Cricetulus griseus: one gene and its partners. The protein of the gene in region 1 interacts with the protein of each later gene in a pairwise test. Links are inferred from orthologs where the notes say so. Each region holds a gene or a part of one and is shown in the gene's direction. Other genes may lie near its edges.

Region 1 (4,077 bases):
GTACTGACCCACCTGGTTATTCAACGGGGACACAACAGGTGAATCTCTCAGAAAGATTGGTGCGAAAAATGACCATAAAGCATTGTTCCTGAAATGAAATGAGTCCAACAAGGATAGTCGATTATAATAATGGCAGTCTATTACAGAGTTTATCTAACTGGAATTACATGCCACCTCAAGGACAAGATGGGCTCTTGGGAAACTTTTAGAGATAGTCTTGGAAAGCAGTCCTTCAAAGGAGATCCCAAAGCCATGGGATCAAGGCTAATGAGGCTGGTTCCCTCAGGCGCTCTCTGCGGGGGGGGGGGGGGGGGCGAATTGAGAGTGGGGCAGGAACGGGGAGGGGGGTGAGACAGAGCCTCCCTGTGTAGCCCTTAAACTGTCCTGGTACTTGCTGTCTAGACCCTCACTCACAGAGATCCACCTGCCTCTGCCTCAAGAGTGCTGCTGGGATTAAGACTCCTGGCCCCTCCTGCTCTCAGCAGACAGCTACCCTACCAGTGCCTGGACTGCACTGCCCGGCAGGACCTGGCAGGGGTGACTGACAGCGACCGCGGGAGCTGCATCCACAGCGTCTGTGTGTGGCGCCGGGAGGAAGAGCATGATTTGCACGTGGAAACTGTCTTCCTGTCCTTGAACCAGCCTTCAGAAGTCCCCATGGGCCGCGCTGGAAAAAGGAGGCCGAGATGAGCTTTCCAGAGCTTGGACTGCGACTGTGTACTGCCCGCAGCTCTTGGCTTCCATAGTGCATTGGGCTTGGGAGGTGAGCGCATCCCACGCTGCCCCTCGAGGTACGCACAGTCCCACGCCGATCCTCGCAGTACACGAAGTCCCACGCTGTGCCACGCCGCCCCTCACAGTACGCACAGTCCCACGCCGATCCTCGCAGTACACGAAGTCCCACGTCGTCCCACGCCGCCCCTGGAAGTACGCGCAGTCCCACGCTGTCCCACGTCGCCCCTCGCAGTACGCAGCCCCACGCCGAGCGAGCGGGCAAGCGAGCGTCCCCGGGACCTGCGCAAAAGCGCCTCCTCCTCCTCACAGCCCCCTCCCACGCCGCCCCCCCACCCCCCCAGCTCTCCCGGCCGCGTCGCTGCAGCCCCCGCCGCCGCCGCCAGGGGGAGCGAGTCCCCGACGGGAGCCGCACCGGCTCGCTTCCTCCGAACGCGCGCCTTCCAACTTGAACTTGCGGCGCCTCCTGCCTCTCTGAAGTGTGGAGGGGAAAGATGGAGACCGAGTCACGGGCGGTGAGTGCTGGGGTCTGGGCCCTGCGCGGCGCGGCCTCCGAGGGGTTGGAAGGGTGTGCTTTGGAGCCCAAACGCTGGCTGTTCGGTTGGGGAGGAAGGCGGTGCGCCCCCCCCCCCGCGCCCGCGCTGCGAAGAGCGGCCCGTCGGGTGTGTGAGAAGGGGCGGCCCCGGGGGTCTGGACTCATGTGGGCGGGTGGGTGGCGCGGGGAAACGGCCGGGGACCGCGGGCAGGCTCTGTCCTCCGTGCCCAACGAGCGAGCAAGCGAGCGAGCGGCGGCCCCGAAATGCTTTCCCGCCCAAACTGCGGCGCCCTCGACGCTCGCCCTTCCGGAGCCAACATTCTCGTCGCCCGCGGCCACCAGGCGAGTGGCCGTCGACGCTCCGCCCCGGGGAAAGGCCTGAGCTCGGGAAGGCCGCAGCTAACGCGCGCCGCCCCCGGGTGAGGCCTGGGCCCGGCCCGGGGCCTACGGGCCCCAGCGCAGCCTGGTAACGTGCCGGCCGCCCTGCCCCGTGCCGGCAGACAGCCAATCAGCGGGCGCCAGCGCAGGGCCGCGGCCCGCTGCGCACGAGTCGGCCGGCGCGTGGTCGGTGCCGTTGAGGGTTCCCGCCACCGCTGCTGGCGGGTTTGCCTGGCAAAATTTCTCGCTGGCTCGCCTTCTTTTCCCTCCCGCACTTTGGTGGGGAGGGGGGGGATCCTCGTGTCGGTGCCTCGGTTCACGATGACCCGAGAGAACCCGACGAAGTTGTCACTTCGGCCATTTCCCCCATCGCCTCCACCTGCTGGCCTCAGAGGGGAAGGAGCACCGAGGCGGTGACTGCGACGGTTAGCCCTCCTCTTCCTTTTGTCCTCGCAAAGACGGTCGGTCCCTTTCTCGGTTAAGTCCCAGAGAAGGAGGCAGTGAGGCCGTGTTACTGCGGAAGAGTGTCCTAATAAACTTGTTAGTGGCCAAGCTTTACAAGGAAGCAGAGAACCCATACTAACAACCGGGGAGCAGCCCCTGCCTCCATGCTTTCAAACGGTTGACAATGAGAGGTTCCCCGTGTTAGAGCCACCGCTAACCTCTAAGGAACTTAGATATTACCGCTATCCAAGACTTGTGGCTGCGAACAATACAGCGTGTTCTAGAATATTGCTGGCACTTCGGGCCTTATCTAAATGTCCAGCACATGCTAGGCAGATTTCTCCTGGAACAAATGTCTGTCAGTTTTATACATTCAACAAATACTCCTTGAACACTTGCCATGTCGTGTCACTGGTTTACACGTTGCAGTGTTTTAAATATAAGTATATATTACTTATAAATATACAGGCAAACTTCCTGCCCTTGTGAATATTGTAGCATAGTGCAAAGCGGTAGATAAATATATATTAAATTAGAAGGTGATAGATAATAAAAAAATTAAGCAGTTGGCATCCACAACAGGAGCCTTTAAAGGAGCCTTTAAAAACAAGGGAATCAAGTGAATTGGTTGTTTAAAAAATAATTATTTTTTCCCCCTCGGTGAGTAACCTGAAGTCTCTTCATTGGGACTGTTTTCATCAACCTCTCACAAGAAAAATGATGGAGTTTGTCTTCTTATTTAAACGTGAGGACAAAATATAACTTCGATAGAACTCGAACTCTTGTTTTTAGAGAATTTTCTGGAGACTTTTTTATTATTAACAAGTTCTGTACTGTAAATAAATGGGCAAAGAGACAAGGTTATATCTATTGAAGCTAGATGATTTTCTCTGGTAGTACAATGTTTTCTAGAATATCATTGGTACTCTTTACAACTGGAGATTCCCTTTGTTGAAACAGAAATAACTATCATTTCTATTAGTATTACATACTACTATCCATCTCTGTTTCTTTCCATTTTCTAACATACCATATATTATATTTAGCTGTTACTTTGTACAATGATATAATATTCAAGAGGACAGCGAATTTGTCTTTTTTATTTTAATCATAGGAACATCTAAAATAATGGGTTTTGTCAGCCAATAAAATGAAAAAGGACAAATATAGAAAAGAACTACTATACCATCTAAATTAAAACTTCATCGAGATATTTCTTAACGAATTATGAACTTGAGTATTTTTGAAGAAGTTAGTATGCTAGGCTGTCTCAAAAGTCTATTTAGTCTTCGCAGAAAGAAATAATAGGCTTTTTTTAATGTGTATCTTGATTTTTTTCATCGTACAGTTCAAGTCTGTTCAGTTGCCATTATGCAAAATCTTATACATTGATCTTGACAAGCCTTCCAATTTAGAAGTATGAACATGATGGATATATACTGATCTCAATTCTTCATCGTGTAAATGTATAGTTAAGTGTTTAGATGTGTAATTTTTCATAATGTTTAGGTATGTAAAATTTTCACTGATGAACCCTGGCTGGACTTAAAGTCACAGAAATCTACCTGCTTCTGCCTCCCCCACTTCACCCAGCTAGGTATGTAATTTTCTTAAAGATCAGTCTAATTTTCAAGAAGATTCATGCATTTTAAATTTTGACTTTCAGGCTAGAATTATGCAAATGTATTAATTTGTCAGTGCTCTTTAGCCAAAGACTACCAAGAACACATCTGTAATTGAGTTGTGTCTGTGAAGTCATTGGAACTAGGAAGAAAGTACACCTTTGGTCCTCTCTGGTGTTAAGAACTTGATTTATGCAATATAAGCTTGAGACTTTTAGACAGGATTTCGGGGAGAAAGGCTTATCAGTATTCAGACATGATTAAAGAATGCTTCTTTTTCTTTTGGTCCATTGTAATTTTAGTGACTTCATCTGGTGTTGATCTTCTTTAACAAAAGAACAGAACTGCTGGGTGCCAGGCCAGCTT
Region 2 (4,108 bases), about 380 Mb from region 1:
GCCTTCCTTCTTGAACTCTGGACAAACACAACTTTTTAGGACTTGGAGACTCATGTATGCCGAATAAGAAGTAGTACTAAACTCTTGACCTGGAATAGGATAAGATTTGAGCTCAGCCCTTGGCATTCGGTGCTCCCTTGGAATGGCAGTTAGGATTAATGCCAGAGGACAAAAGGGCAGGTCGCCCACCCCTCAGAGGCTCTTAAGTATGTCTGTAGTGGTGGGGGTGGAGACAGTGTTTCATTTTGACTTACTTCAAAGGGGAAGCTCTCTGGGGTCTTCCCGGCTGCACCCCGCCCCCACTCCACCAGCGGACCTTGGATACGAACGCCTGGCCCGTGTCCCCGCGCACCCAGCCGCCGAGCCGTTGCGCTTGAACCCACAGAAAGAATCCCAGCTCTCGACGGCAGGGGAGTGGGAGATACTCGGCACGCAAATCTGCTGACCCCCGCCCCGGCCCACCCTGCCCAATCGGCGCCCTTTTAAGGGTTGGGACCCTCTGCGGTGCTGGGTCTCAGTTCTGCGCGGAGGCGCTACAGGTGTCCGCTGGGGACCTAGGCCAGGCTGACTGCCAGCACAACACCGCATAGGAGATTTCTTTCTAGGGAGGCAGAACAGCAGTAGCAGCAGCAGAGAGAGAGGGACAGAAGGGGGCAGCCGGGAGAGCTAAAGCCAGGAACTGCGGTGGGCGAGGGCCGTTAGCCCTTGGCGTGCACCGGATCTCTGGGAAGGTGGGAGGAGACAGTCCCATGGCCTGCCCCCACCCAGTCTAGTACAGTGCCCAGCCCTTACTCAGCCCTCCTGGCGGCTTGACAGGCGAGAATGGGCTGAGTCACAGGCCCTGAAAGGTGTCACAGGGGTGTCGCAACGGGGGTGTGCCGGGTTCTGTGGGGAGAGCCAGTCCTCCCCTCCAGTCGTTCCCAGATGTCATTCTGCCCGCCCAGGCGCTTGGTTCCTGAGTTCCGGGGCATTCCACGGTTACTAAGTTACTGGTTTTTGTTGACTTTTAAATATTTTCTTCTACGGGAGAGGGGGAGGGGGGCAAAAGTCAGGAAAGAGCAAATAAAAGCAAGTCAACATAAGCCCCCCTTCCCCAAAAGAAAGTTGCCCCCTACTCCTCATCCCCACCCAAACAAAACGCCTCTGAAACCCATCCCTTGGCTGGAGCATCAGCCAGCTAGAACTGACTACTTCCCAGGCCCAGTCTTTAGCTCCCTTTCTGGTGAATGAGGGCTGGTGGTGGACAGTCCCTTTGTCTCCCAGCCCTGGGTGGACAAAGGGGCTTCCGGAAAGAGAGAAAGAGGATGGCCAGTGGAAATGGGCTCCCTCCATCCTCGGCCATGGTGGCCAAGCGTCCCTCCGCCCTGGGGCCATTCCCCAGATACGTGTGGATCCACCAGGACACACCCCAGGATAGCCTAGATAAGATTTGCCATGACATCTGGAAGAGAGTTCAGGGCTTGCCGGAGTCCCTGCAACCCAGGACCTCGCTGGAGAAACTCTCGGCGCCGATGACCGCGACTGTCAGCTTCCAAGAAGAGTGAGTAGTGCCCTGTTTGGTTGATTATCAAGGAATGGAGGGAGGGGAAATGAAGTCTGACTTAGGGTTGAACTCTCTCTGGCCAGTGTTAAACTCTATAAACATTTTCTTCATCCCTTAGTATGGGTAGTTTGGAGGAGGGAGCTGGCCACGGTGCTGAAATTCCAGGAGCAAGGGAAGAAACCATTCCTGATGGCTTCTTTCCAGATACTAAGGAGACATTGTCATTCTAAAGGCATAGACAACTAAGATGAAAATCTGGGGTCCTGGCAAGAGTATTCTCACCAAGCCTAGGGGTAATATCACTGTCCCCAGAGGCAACTAGGTGATCTTTCCCCTCTCCCAAGAAAAGTTCAGGCATTGGCACAGATGAGTCTGATGGCTGGAAACCACATCTGGAATCCCCTAATACAGAGAGCAGCTGTCCCATTCAGCATCCACAGAGCTACTGCAAGAGCGCACATCAAAATATTTACTGGGAAGGCATTGACATATTCAGAGGACATAATAGAAAATTAAAGTGCGGGAAGATGACTGTAAATAGCCGGTTTCCCGGATGGGAAATCCCATGTCTGGGAAACACAGAGCTAAGTGTTTCTGCACTAGGAAAAAGTTGAAGAGATATTGTTGGGGCTGGATATTGGAAATGAGAGGAAGGAGCAGAGAGGAAGAAGGGATCTCATTAGGAGAAGGAGTGCATTCGTTTTGGTGATTAATGTCACTGCTGAGTACTCTTTCAAGGCTCTGCACCTTCAAAGTGGGCTGCAAGCGTTAATTAATCCTCCCAGCATCCCTATGAAACAGGTATTAGTGTCCCCATTTTACAGATGGATTAAGTGTTAATAATTAAGTGCCAATTAAAGCCTAAGTGATAATTAAGTGTTGTCTGCCCCCAACACATGCTCCAACTCAGTTCAGAGATGGGGGAACCATTCAGGCATTTATCAGCTGCCTCAGGTTTCAGGGCTCTCTAAGCAATAGCTGAGAGGGAAAGAAAAGTATAGCAGATGCTCAGGTCTGCACTTCCTGCAATCCCTTTGCAAGCTCCTTTGCTTGATGCAGATGAAGGTAGAAGGCATGCTGGCTGCTTCTGCCTCCTCTGCCCTATGCTCAGCAGGACCCGGCTCAGATGGAAATGGCCTTTCTATAGCCAGAATCCTGTGGCTAGTCTTTTCAGTGGCACCGAGCTCCTCTGTCTTGTTCATTGCCATCTGCTCTGGGACAGTGCCTTGGCATGGGAAACCTTGGGGGCTGTACTCAGCTCTCTCAATGGCCAAGGAGCTGATTGTCCACTTTCTGGATCATAGGTCAGTAGCAATTTCCAGTAGATAGCCCCTTCTCTGCCAGGTCACACTGAATTCATGGAGACAGACTCTACTTCCAGTCCACACTTGGCCAGAAATTGAACTAGCCTACCTTTGGCCAGTTGATTCATTCTGTTTGGCCCTGATTTCCTCATCTGCAAATTGAGGATGATGTGCCCTGCCTTGTCAACTCAGAGTCGATAATGAGGGTCAAATGTGATGGGAAACAAAGAAATGAAAGATGCATTATAGAAACAAGACCGCCTTAATATGTAATGCACCGAGTTTTGGGGTGGGAGGGTTACTGCTGTTGGCTTTCTTCTGGAGTTTTCATGTGGTCTCCAAGTCCCAAGGGTGCTTCACACAGCCACCCTAGAGTCAAGTGGGTTGTCTGCTGGGTCCCACACATACTTTAGTCAGAGCTGTTCAGGCTTTTGTTGGTTTTACTACTGGAGTTCTGAGTATGGTTGCATTTGAAAGAGTTTGGTGACTGAGAAGAGACCCAGGAAACCACCTACTTGGAGGAATAAACCACATCATAGTTGTAGCTATCCACCTGGTAGAACACAATGAGAACTTCATGAAATGAAAGCCAGTGCTTCTGGAGTCAGACAACCAGGTTCAGCCCCGCGCTGGATGCAGAACTGTGACTGTATGGTGGATCTTAACTTTGGTCATCTGCCAAATGGAGGTGACAGTAGGGGTTGCTGGAGGTGGCAAATCTGAATCGTTCAATGGTCCTGCTAGTAATTAGGATTCATAAATTCCTTCTAAGAACAGCAGTTATAATTTCTGTAAATCTTGAAATTTTTGCAGGCAAGAGGTAGTACCTTTTCAAATTCCCCATTCTTTTTTCACTATACAAATTTGCAAACCCCCAAAATAAAGGTAGCGAGAGCCTATAGATCTAAATTTTTAATTTTTTTTTAATTTTTTATTTTCTGTGCACTCATGTTTTGCCTGCATATATATCTGTGGGAACCCCATGTTCTGAGTGATGAAGGGTAAACTTTAAAACTAGAGGGCACACCACTGTTTCTTATGTGTTCAGATACACACCTGCTGGGTTTTCCCCTGCCTAATGTGTAGAGTTTTGATGGGGGAGGTCCTTCTGTGCATATGTTTGTCTTATTGGCTGATAAATAAAGTACTGTTGGCCAACAGGGAAGCAAGATAGGTTGGACTAGGAGGGTTCTGGGAAATGTAGTAAAGGGAAGTCTTGTGATCCAGGCAGGAAGTGACATAGCAGGCAGACTTAAAATAT
Region 3 (4,203 bases), on another chromosome or scaffold:
TTTAATCCCAGCACTCAGGAGACAGAGGCAGGTGGATCTCTGAGTTCAAGGCCAGTTTGGTCTACAGAGTTCCACAAGAAGCCCTGCTTAGAAAAAAAAAACTTTTATCCAAATGCAGTCATATTCTGGTATACTTAAGGTTAGGGCTTCAACATGGATGGAAAAGGGTTGCACAGATTATCTGCAACTAGAAAGAGGTGGGCTCAGTCATGCTTTCCCAAACCTTGGGGTTGCTTAAGTCTGAGGAGAACAGGACTGACATCAGGAAGTCTCCTAGTGAAGCTGAGGCAGGAAATAAACACGTGTGTATTTACACACACATAATACACAGGTCCGTATTGTACACGCACACATATGCACATGCACAAATACACACGCCTACGTATTGGTACACACACATATGCACAGGTGCGCACACATGTGTAAATGCACACACATACATGCACACGTACACACACCTACGGATAGGTATGCACATGTGCACACATGTACACACACATATTGTAAACATGTACAACACACACCAGGAGGGAAGTGAATATTACAAGTTCTGTCTGAGAAAGGGGATTTGGCAGCTGGCTCCTGGGTAGAAACAGAAGCAGACAAGTGAAAGTACCAAGCAATGAGTTAGGAGGGAGAGGTTATCTAAAATGGGGATAATTGCCTGAGGGGAGAACATGAAAGTCCAGGTTCGGGCAGGGTCTGAACGCTGTGTTCAGCAGACCCAGGTCTCAACCAAACGGCCAACTGTGTCCTCAGCTCAGGTAACCAAGACAGTAGGGGCATCTCAAGCCATGTGGGAAAGGGGTGGGGATGTCTCTTCCGGCTGTCACTATTGGTGAATGTCACCCTGCTAGGTATAGGGCACAGGATGGTTGGGTTTCTGGCCAGAGGGCTGTAGTGTCTCCAGTAGGTGCCACACGCCCGGCTGTCACAGGATTGTCAGTCTTTGCCTCGAGGCTGACAACAGGACAATGGCTCCCCAAAATATGACTCTGCTGGCTCCTGGGTAGAAACAGTCTGCTGCTGTTTACCCAGTGCCGCTTTGCCTCCAAGACCCCCTCTTCTTCGCCGAGATTTGCTTAGTCCCTGAGACCCTGTGTGCCACCAGCCTCCCAGTGTGCAGCCATTTTAATGCTACTCTGACTAAAACAGACCGCCCATCATGTTTCCTCTTGACATTTTGGCTGAGGGGTGTCTTTGGAAGTCAAGTGGGGTCTCCTGGCGTACCCACCAGCATTTCCAGATCTCAAACCTCTCCTGCCCTGTGTGTTCACAACCACTCAGCCTCACATACTTGTCTCATTCTATCTGCTCAGGTATGAAGCGGCCACTGAGCCCATCCCCCTCAAGTGAAAAGGAGCCCCCCACAACTGCAGCATCTGAGTGTCCCCCTCACTCTCCAGAATCATCGAAGCCTAAGCGGGAAAGGAAGCAACCTTCCTACACACTCTGCGATGTCTGCAACATCCAGCTGAACTCTGCTGCCCAGGCCCAGGTGCATTGTGGGGGACGCGCCCACCAGCGGAGGCTTCGGCAGCTCAGCCTGGGCAAGACCTCCACAGGGCCAGGTTAGTGTGGAGTGGCGCTGAGCTTAACACCCCTTCTATAATCTGGGTCTCTTTAAGGGATCCTGGGTCTGATACTGTCAGGTTTTATTTACAGAGCTGAGGTTGTAGCTCGGTGGCATGGCGCCTACCCCGAATGTGGTGTGGGTTCAGCCCCGCAAAAACCAAAGAAAGTTGAAAGTTTTGTTTTGCTTCTGGACAGCTTTCCACGGGATCTCAGGGGATGTGAGAGTCTTGAAGTCTCCTCTTGAGGTCTCTTCAGTTCTAGAAGCTCTCCCTGTGGGTGGTGAGGACATTCATAGCATTTCTTTAGTCTGGAGCATCAGGCAGGGACAGTCTCTCAGACAACCACCTCACTTTCAGAGTGTTCCAGACTCCTGCTTTTCTGGCTGGGGTCAGCACGGTGCACAGCACTGCAGCCAAGGAACAACAGGAGCTGCTCTTCCCGTGGCAGCTGGACTCCCAGCCGGGATTTCTGCCTCTCCCTGGCTGGGGTGACTTTGTAGGGGTTTAGCTGCCAATGCTGGAGGGGCAGCTGGCTGCCATGCAGTGTTCTGGGGGAGATGGGTGAATGCTTCTGTGAGAGTGATGCCTGCTGACAGGCACATGGGGGTCACAAGCTGCAGGCTGGCAGGGAAGACAGATCCACACACAGGCCTAGGAGGGAGAGGCAGGGGGCATTGGTACCCCAGATCCTGGGGATGCCTTGGAGAAACCCACCTTGCAGCCCAGCTGGGTGGTTTTGCCAGAGGCTACCTTGAACCTTGAAAGTTCCTAATCATTGGGTGACATTTATACAGTGCCCCTTTAGCAAGATGGGAGTTGAGACACGCCTCCAGGCCACAAAGGCCTTGGAGGAAGAGGCTGATGAGCGTGACAGGTGAGGGACATTTCAGGCAGAGGTCGTATCCACAGTGAGTGACAGGAAGACTGTGGTAGTGGGGATTAACTCCTCCAAGTAGGCACTTAGAGTTGGACTCCCAAGGCTGTGACTGAGCAATTGGATGGACCCATATTTCTGGAGCATGTAGGACTGGGGTTCAAAGGTCATTCATTTAAGCTGGGTGGGTGTGCACATCTGGAATCAGGATGCTGAAGCAAGATGGATGTAAATCCAAGGCCAGCCTGAATTACATAGCAAGATTGTCTTTTTAAAAGTCATACAATTAGTCATCAAATATTTATTCATCAAATATGTGTACTTATCTGTGGAGGTTCAAGCTGCTGTTCAGAGAACTCGCTTTTTTGTTGTTGTTCAAGACAGAGTTTTCTCTGTGTAGCCCTGGCTGTCCTGGAACTTGCTTTGTAGACCAGGCTGGACTTTAACTCAGAGATCTGCCTGCCTCTGTTTCCTTAGTGCTGGGATTAAAGGTGTACATCATCACCACCCAGTTTTAGGTGAGGGGCTCACATTTTTAAGACTTTCAAATCTGAGAAGAAGAAGAAGAAGAAGAAGAAGAAGAAGAAGAAGAAGAAGAAGAAGAAGAAGAAGAAGAAGAAGAAGAAAGCTGTCTAAATCATTCTACATAAAGATGAATTTATTCTCAGGTAGTAGTAGGCCTTGTAGAGGTGAGTGAAAAAAGTGTCAAGAGAACCCAGGAGAAAGCCAAGTCTGTTGACACAGGCCAGTAATCCCAGTTATTTGAAAGGCAGAGGCAAGAGGATCTCAAGTTCAAGGCTAGCCTGCACTAGAGGGTGAGTTCGAAGACAGCCTGGGCAACTTAGTGAGATCCTGTCTCCATATTAAAGTAATGAAGGTTCAGAGGTAGAGCACTTGCCTAGCCTGCATTAGGCTATGAGTCCAATCCCTGGGTACCAGAGGAAAAGAAGAAAAGGGGCCAGGGGAAGATACTAGAGAAGGGAACAGTGAGTGAGCTGATGTGGGAAGCTCAAAAGCCATGACACCGATGTTGGTTCCTGGAGGTGAAAGGGTCTCACAGGCAGAATCACAGTTAGAGCTGGTACAGGCACCAAGAGCTCCTGGCCTTGCTGGGCAGTGGCCGGTGGAGCCTTGTGCAGGGTACAGGCTGAGCTTGGTTGAGGTAAGCTGGTAACCCCCACAGGGGTCTTCCTACCAGGTTAGCTTTGGCCTTTGATTCAGAGGTGACAGGCTTCACAGCAGCATTGTGACATCTTTCAGATGTCTCCAGAGAAGGATAAGAATGAGACATAGAGATACACGGCCAAGAAAGAAATGGAGTAGGAAAACAGTTTCTGTAGGCTTTTGTGTAGGAGAACTATCAAGGTTTGGTGACCGATGGGCTTTAGGGAGCAAGGGAAAGGGAGGAGGCATGGATGACTTCAGCTAGGCAGGCTCTTGGGGAGGGGAGAGTAGGGCAGTTCAAGTCATTAGAAAGAGGAACCAAAAGGAGAAGAGAGCCTGTGTTGGTGGGGATGGTTTGGGGAATCTCAAAATTAAAAGTCACCAATAAATGGATGCCTAGCACCCCACTCCAGACTGTTAAATTTTAGGCCAGTTAAGTCACCAAGTATCCAGGGTGTGTCAAGAAATCAGAGGCCCTAGGCAGACCCAATGCAAGATGCTGAGATACCCTCAGAGGGATGCTTGGTGCCTACCCTTGGGCACTTACAGCTGGGCAGGGGAAGCAGATATGGGACCAGACCTTCCCATTGG

The links. The genes of interacting proteins can lie anywhere in the genome.
Region 2: the proteins of protein boule-like (region 1) and CUNH1orf94 interact in binary tests that used the Homo sapiens proteins (3 or more experiments, as listed by UniProt). The two-hybrid records come from large-scale screens. The link is inferred for Cricetulus griseus from reciprocal best matches to the Homo sapiens genes BOLL and C1orf94.
Region 3: the proteins of protein boule-like (region 1) and Znf385c interact in a two-hybrid assay, tested with the Homo sapiens proteins (2 studies listed by BioGRID). The two-hybrid records come from large-scale screens. The link is inferred for Cricetulus griseus from reciprocal best matches to the Homo sapiens genes BOLL and ZNF385C.

Annotation. Positions count from the first base shown.
Region 1 is NC_048595.1:409,763,745-409,767,821, reverse strand, and holds the start of protein boule-like, read left to right. Parts: upstream 1-1,226; coding exon 1,227-1,247; intron 1,248-4,077. UniProt on the Homo sapiens protein: Probable RNA-binding protein, which may be required during spermatogenesis. May act by binding to the 3'-UTR of mRNAs and regulating their translation.
Region 2 is NC_048595.1:25,030,273-25,034,380, forward strand, and holds the start of CUNH1orf94 (uncharacterized protein C1orf94 homolog), read left to right. Parts: upstream 1-1,226; coding exon 1,227-1,540; intron 1,541-4,108.
Region 3 is NC_048600.1:113,701,044-113,705,246, reverse strand, and holds the start of Znf385c (zinc finger protein 385C), read left to right. Parts: upstream 1-1,321; coding exon 1,322-1,571; intron 1,572-4,203.